Drosophila melanogaster: one gene and its partner. The gene in region 1 interacts genetically with each later gene. Each region holds a gene or a part of one and is shown on either strand. Other genes may lie near its edges. The genes, in order: Taf6 and Dsor1.

Region 1 (3,920 bases):
AGATTCCTTGCAATCACTCCGGTAGCCGCAGCTCTTTGCCCTGCTCCTGCGACTCATACAACTCTTGGTGCTGTATCGACTCTTGCAGCTGGCATCGGACTTGTAACCGGAGTTGTGGTTGTGGCTGCTCCGCTGATGTCGTACGCTTCCGTAATCCGAGACGTAACCGCTCTTAGCGGCCAAGACCTTACTGCAAATAGTGGTGCTTGCTCCTGTTCCACTAGCCGCACCCACACTCATACTCCTCAGCCTAAACTTCTTGTTCACGTCGATCTCTCGCCACAGCGGATCAAGCTGAAGTTCCTCTTTGTTGGATGAACTGCAGGCTGTCTTTTTATTGTTCTGCCGTCGCTTACTCCTGGGCGGTGGATAGAGCACCCGCTCAGTGGCATACATTCGCTTGTCCAGATACGCCATGTCGATCTTAGGCTTGCTGCTGGAGGCGATTGGCAGCGATCCCGTCGGCACAGCATTCTCATTTTGCATTTTCGGGGAGGGAGTAGTGCTCTGCGTTGTGCTAGTGGTGCTTATCACACCCGAATCGGCAGATTCGTTTATAGCAGGGCCAGAGTTTCCTGGGGCAGGAACTGTGGGAACCACTTTTTTGGGTCTACCTCTGCGCTTTCGAGGAACAGCTGTTTGGACTAGGGTCTCCTCCTTAGCTTTAGCCACTTTCTCCTCCGCAAGCTTCGCATTGACGGTCTGCCCCAGCATCTGAGTCTTCTCCATGAAGTCTTGCAGCAAAGTTGACTGGTACTGGGGTAGGTTCTTGTCCTTGGCCGCTTTGCGGAAACTTCCTTCCACAGTTGTGTCCTCCGTATCGCTCTCCACTCGCTTGATAGCCGCCTGCACCAGGTTAGGTAACTCGTTGTCGCTGGACGAGATTCCGATATCGAGGGTGGGTTTGCTGGCCGACTGTGCCGCCTGGATGATAGCACTTAGCAGCACTCGCGGAGCTCTCTGCTGATGCACCTTCAAGGGCAGATCGTCCTCTGAGTCCGAGGAAAATGCCGAGATCTGTGACTTCTTAGACTTAGACACTTTGTCCGATTTACTAATCCCACTGGAACTTGCCAGCTTCTTGCGCTTGACCTTCACTTTCTTGCTGACCGCTCTATTTTTGGCCTCCGAGCAGCCGGACTCGGTGTCCTGGGTAGACATTTTTCTGGACTTTGGGGGTTTCTTGGTTGCTACGACTCCTAACGTGGGGCGGATGGCCGAGATTCTCATTCGCAGTCCATCGGTGTCCGAACGCTGCACGCTAAACTGGGTGGCTGACTTGATCGACTTCGACTGGCTCGATTGATCCGTAATGGAATCGGTTTCCTGAGGAGAACAACACACTTTACATATAGCATTGCATAAAGGGTGCCATTTTAAAGACTTGCCTCATTTTCACTGCCGGATTCTTGTGCGCGTTGCGTTTCCAGAACCTTTGCTGCTGCCGTCTCATTTTGGCTACAGCTCATATTTTGGAGTCGCTGGGGAGCTGCAAAGGTTCGCTTTTGTTAGCCAAGTGTTTTTAATTCGATTTGGTGGCACTCTTAATCGCCTTTAAAGTAGGTCAAACCGCGGTGACATCGTCCAAAAAAAAAACCATTACCTACAGCACACTTACGCTTGATTGTTTTCTGGGCTAGTAGTAGACCTCAGTAGTCGGTTTCGTTTGTGCCGAAATGACAATCTATTGCTGCACACATTGCATTTGCACTTTTCTTGAGCCTTAGGCCGTGGCTTGCCTGCTTCTAAAATGGCGCCGTTTTCACTTTCCCAAAAACTGCTTTGTTCGACGCCCGACGACGGCGCAACGTTGCAACGCTTCTCGCATGTGGCACATTAATCCGCGGTACCGATAATTCACTTTTTTCGCGACTAGTGGGCGGTGGCGGGGCGCATCAATTGTTATTGTTAATGTGGCGCAACAACAAAAAGCCAGGCAACCAAAAATTTACGAACATAAATAAAGAAAAAGACTGCGTTTCAGTGTGCCCAGCTGGGGTGTACGTGATGTCTACGCGACAGTGTGACCTTGCGGCGGAATTTAGCAGGCAACTATCGCGAACAATAGTGGATTCTATTCAAAAATAGCTGGAAAAAAACAAGCCGATTATTGTATAACAATGTGAAACCAGTAATATTAATATGACATTTTTTATGAATTAAAAATGAATTCTTATATTTTTTTTACTATTGTAACTAAATATTTGTTATGGGAATATATTCCTTACATGAACTCGCAAATAGCAAAATTTTAGGTGACCATAAAACTAATTATAGCAGACGATATGAAACAACAAAAAAGCCAGAATAGCTAGATTTTCTCTTTTGGGTGTGTGCACACTGGCCGAGCAGCTCGGCGATTATTATTTGTTTATTTGTAAAAACCTGGGAAATGAGTGGAAAACCGTCGAAACCGAGCAGCCCCTCCAGCAGCATGCTGTACGGCTCCAGCATCTCGGCGGAGTCCATGAAGGTGATCGCGGAGAGCATCGGAGTGGGCTCCCTGTCGGATGACGCCGCCAAGGAACTAGCGGAGGATGTGTCCATCAAGCTGAAGAGGATTGTACAGGATGCGGCCAAGTTCATGAACCACGCCAAGCGGCAGAAGCTCTCAGTGCGGGACATCGACATGTCCCTTAAGGTGCGAAATGTGGAGCCGCAGTACGGTTTCGTAGCCAAGGACTTCATTCCATTCCGCTTCGCATCTGGCGGAGGACGGGAGCTGCACTTCACCGAGGACAAGGAAATCGACCTAGGAGAAATCACATCCACCAACTCTGTAAAAATTCCCCTGGATCTCACCCTGCGCTCCCATTGGTTTGTTGTGGAGGGAGTGCAACCCACTGTGCCCGAAAACCCCCCTCCGCTCTCGAAGGATTCCCAGTTACTGGACTCGGTCAATCCAGTTATTAAGATGGATCAAGGCCTAAACAAAGATGCGGCAGGCAAACCCACCACCGGCAAGATACACAAGCTGAAAAACGTGGAGACCATTCATGTCAAGCAACTGGCCACGCACGAGTTGTCCGTGGAGCAGCAGTTGTACTACAAGGAGATCACCGAGGCGTGCGTGGGATCTGATGAGCCGCGGCGCGGGGAAGCGCTGCAGTCGCTGGGATCCGATCCTGGCCTGCACGAAATGCTTCCCCGCATGTGCACCTTCATTGCCGAGGGAGTTAAGGTCAATGTGGTTCAGAACAACTTGGCGTTGCTTATTTACCTCATGCGCATGGTTCGTGCGCTTCTGGATAATCCTTCGCTGTTTCTGGAGAAATACGTAAGAAATTTCTTATTGTATTGTTCTTTGTTTCTCATAAAAACGATGTTGTCTCCGCATAGCTCCACGAACTGATACCCTCGGTGATGACGTGCATTGTGTCCAAACAGCTGTGTATGCGCCCCGAGCTGGACAATCACTGGGCCCTGCGAGACTTTGCCTCCCGACTGATGGCTCAAATCTGCAAGAACTTCAATACCCTAACCAACAATCTGCAAACCCGTGTCACCCGGTAAATCACATCCACTTAAATTAAATAACCTTTTAACATCCATTTCCCAACCTTCAGCATCTTCAGCAAGGCCCTGCAGAACGACAAGACCCACCTGTCCTCGCTTTACGGCTCTATTGCGGGTCTCTCGGAGCTGGGGGGCGAAGTCATAAAGGTTTTCATCATACCCCGCCTTAAGTTCATATCGGAGCGCATTGAACCTCACCTGCTCGGCACCTCCATCAGCAACACTGACAAGACAGCAGCAGGTCACATCCGCGCCATGCTTCAGAAGTGCTGTCCCCCGATTCTCAGGCAAATGCGCTCAGCGCCAGATACAGCGGAGGACTACAAGAACGACTTTGGCTTCCTGGGGCCGTCGCTGTGCCAGGCAGTAGTCAAAGTTCGAAATGCGCCCGCCTCAAGCATTGT
Region 2 (3,920 bases), on another chromosome or scaffold:
CTACGGCGCCGGCGGCGTGGAATCCACCAAATCCGAAGAACCTTCGCAGGAACGCACGCCGCTCTTTAAATACGAGCCCGGGCTGATTGTGGAGTGCTCCCTGCTAAAACCATGCACCAATGTTAAAGAATTTAAGGCTGAAATGCGCCAATATCCGGATATTAAATATGTGGATATTAAGGAGGGCGACCAAGTGGCCCTACTACGTTTGGGCACGCCTGCCGCAGCCGAGGAACTGCTACGCCAGGTCAACTGCTCCGAGAGGCAGCTGAAAGTGCTCTCTGGCCAGCAGGAGACGCTCTATTGGCGAAAAATCGAGCAGGATCGCGAGGCGAAACTCTCGAAAAAGGTGCGCGTGCAGCAAAAACGCGGTCGCGAGAAAGTGGGCAAAATGCTGGGCAAGCACATTAAGTTTGATGATGGCGATGATGAAGTGCAGGCGGCCGCCATGGACTGAGTCACTTTCAGTTGAGGGGTGAGTTTGGATTTCATTTCAGGAAACTCTATAATATAAGCTATATAAATTTATAAATGTAAGCAAAAGATACATTTAGATCTAGCACAAGATTTCGTAATATTAGAGTAATATTGTAAAAACAAATTGAATTTTTAAAAAAGAAACTTCCTAGTGAAATTGAAATAAATCTTCTGAATGAAACAAACCATTTATTTTTACAAATTTGTCTGATCTTACAGGAACGAGAAAGAGATGGTTATATTTTCTCTTTCACTTATTTATTGATACGATCAAAGAATTGTGCTAGATAAAAGATACAAAAAAGAACTTTTGGCATTATTAATAAAATACATTTCCTAATTAATTATGTACACGTTTTTGAGAAGATCTTGCTATTCCTAATGGTTGCATATTTGCATTCGTTATTATGTACACTGTAATGGAAAAGTTAGCTTATGACCTATTAACCCCTGTAAAACTAAACTATATGTAAAGTGAGCCATCCGCTGGCCCCAAATAATGCATCGAGATGAGCAGGACATCGATGATGGTCCAGACGCCGAGGCCGCCAAAGCTGAACAGCTTTCCAATCCCTTCCTGCCAGTGGCCCAAGTAGAATCGATCGGCTCCAAAGCCCCCTAGCGTGAGGCTAATCAGCAGGGCTGTGCTCCACCGATAGCCCTGCGTCCAGTTGCATCGCAGGTTGCGGGTAAAGGATCGATTGCCGAGGCAGAGCACATCATGGTGCACGGTGCAGTTGGTACGGAATAGCTTATCCGTCGCCGAGTTGCAACTGGAGCGCTGGCCACAGCTCTGTTGCCACATTTCCGTTTGGTAGCAGTATCGGCAATTCATTTGTCGCTGGAAACTCCGTTCGCCCAGGCACTGGACATTGTTGATCACCTCGCAGGTTACATTCAAGTCCCGGCCGTAGATGCATCCATGATTGTAGTTGCAACGGATGCAGGGAAACTGCAGGCGATCACAGGGCGTTTCCTTATCGTACGGGCATAGCATGTTGTTGTTCCCATTGCTGCTACTGCTACTGCTGCTGCTGCTGTAGGCGGTTATGTTGTCCAGGAGTCCACCGGCACCTCCTCCACTCTTGGCCACCATGCTGGACACCAGGGGCGGCACATACACCTCGTTATCGTTGGCATTTCCATTGCCATTGCTCGCATTGCTGTTATCCTTGTGATCGCCTTTTGAGTCCGATAAGTCCATCTGGTTGCCACCGCTGGCCGTTTCGCTGTTCCTGATCCCCGTCAGCACGAAGATCATGATCAGGACAATGGCCGATCGCATGTTGACCACAATGCACTGTCGTTGGAGCCTCATTTTGGTCAGATAGAGCGGGGAATACGCCGGAAATGTTATTGTTTTTCCCTTTAAGAAAATGAGTGGGGTGGGAGAGTGTGACCGTATACGCGTGGCATGAAAATATCAACCGCGAATGCTCAGGAGAAATTTCTTTAAAAAGCGTATCGAATAGTTTATAGATATGTTTTGGCTCAATTAAATTGGCTAAACAGATAAGTATACCTCTCCCCTCATCGTAACAAATTAGTAATATCTAATCCTAATATCCTTTCCATTTAAGTTGTGACCATTGGCCGCTTTAGTCGTAGGAGTGTATTAACGGTATTTGGTAATCGCGACATCTGGCCATACCGCACCGTCTGCGAAAAAAACCCAAAAGTCGCCGATTTTGGCTGATTATTGCAAAAATAATATTAACTATCCGTTTGCTGTTCGTGTGCTCGGTTCGGGTGTGTTAAAGTTAAGCGCAACGCGAGGAATTGGTGCAAATTTACCAGCGGCTGGACACACAAAACGAAACATTCGCACTTGGCCTCCCTTCGCACGCCCCCTCGCCGACGCCCCTCGCCCCTCACACCCTTCAGCCGTTCGTCGGACGCCGCTGTTCGTAGTGCGTTTTGTTGTTGTTTCCACTGGAACACTCTCTATTTGTATTGTTTCATTTATTAGTTTTTTTTTGTTGTTGTTATTGTTGTGTGCTTTAACTTATCGGTAACGGATAACGGTATCGAGAGATATATATTATATATAGTAAGATGTCGAAGAACAAGCTGAATCTGGTGCTGCCGCCGGTAAATACGGAGGCAACTGTTGCCGCCGCCACAGTGGCGCCGACGCCGCCATTCAAAACCCCCTCGGGCACAGAGTAAATATTATACATAATATCCTTAATAACTGACTGGTTTTTAGGCCACCCATTCCAATAACACCGCATCCCCCCTCCCTCGCTGTTTCCCCTTCCACTCCTCGTTTTCGGTTTCCTACTCAGTGGTAAGATAATCCTGTAGTTTTGCGAGTTAGGTGGGTAATTAATATCCATCAATTGATCCAAGGAAATCCCATCCAGCTGGAAAGAAAGAGACAGTCGGAGTGAAAGAGCAGGTACTCTCTCTTTGTTTGTTGGTGTGGGTGGTGCTCCTTTCGTGTGACGCACAGGTACACAGCGAGAAAAAACTTACTGAGTAAATACAGTAAACTGTTTTAGTGCTTTTTGGATTAATTAACGGGATGACAAAGTCAGTTTCGAAGATAAATAGAAATTATAATTTAATAGTCCTACCTTTATCGTATATTTTTTTGTGAGCACCAAAATGTAGGCAACATAACATAACACAATACATATGTAATTTGATGTGTATGTTTGTGTAGTTTTCTTATTATTAGGAGAAACTTCGGCCCGCCCCTCATCCCATCCCCCACTTTCAAATCCCATCCATTGCTTGCACTTTTTACATTTTCGTTTTGGATCGCAAAAATTCATTAAGAGGTTAAATTAAAGCACACACAGTTTGCTGGGGAAGCCCAAGACGAGCATCGATGCGCTGACAGAGACGCTGGAGGGTCTGGACATGGGCGACACGGAACGCAAGCGGATCAAGATGTTCCTCAGCCAGAAGGAGAAGATCGGCGAGCTGTCCGACGAGGATCTGGAGAAGCTGGGCGAGCTCGGATCGGGCAATGGCGGCGTGGTGATGAAGGTCCGGCACACGCACACACACCTGATCATGGCCAGGAAACTGATCCATCTGGAGGTGAAGCCGGCGATCAAGAAACAGATCCTGCGCGAACTGAAAGTCCTGCACGAATGTAATTTCCCGCACATTGTCGGTTTCTACGGCGCCTTCTACAGCGACGGCGAGATCAGTATCTGCATGGAGTATATGGACGGTGGATCACTTGACCTGATCCTCAAGCGGGCCGGTCGAATACCAGAGTCCATTCTCGGCAGGATCACGCTGGCGGTGCTCAAGGGCTTGAGCTATCTGCGCGACAATCACGCCATCATCCACCGTGACGTGAAGCCGAGCAATATCCTCGTCAATAGCAGCGGCGAGATCAAGATCTGTGATTTCGGCGTCTCCGGTCAACTGATCGACTCGATGGCCAACTCCTTTGTGGGCACCCGTAGCTATATGTCGGTAAG

The links.
Region 2: of Taf6 (region 1) and Dsor1, changing one enhances a phenotype caused by changing the other (phenotypic enhancement), as found in Drosophila melanogaster (one study listed by BioGRID).

Annotation. Positions count from the first base shown.
Region 1 is NT_037436.4:19,596,768-19,600,687, forward strand, and holds the start of Taf6 (TBP-associated factor 6), read left to right. Parts: upstream 1-2,320; 5' UTR 2,321-2,392; coding exon 2,393-3,277; intron 3,278-3,339; coding exon 3,340-3,509; intron 3,510-3,566; coding exon 3,567-3,920. Other genes in the region: ash1 (absent, small, or homeotic discs 1), read right to left, coding at 1-1,326, 1,389-1,469. UniProt on the Drosophila melanogaster protein: TFIID is a multimeric protein complex that plays a central role in mediating promoter responses to various activators and repressors.
Region 2 is NC_004354.4:9,245,267-9,249,186, forward strand, and holds the start of Dsor1 (downstream of raf1), read left to right. Parts: upstream 1-2,075; 5' UTR 2,076-2,532; coding exon 2,533-2,642; intron 2,643-3,275; coding exon 3,276-3,915; intron 3,916-3,920. Other genes in the region: Larp7 (La related protein 7), read left to right, coding at 1-457; amx (almondex), read right to left, coding at 941-1,795. UniProt on the Drosophila melanogaster protein: Required downstream of Raf in the sevenless (sev), torso (tor), and Drosophila EGF receptor homolog (DER) signal transduction pathways.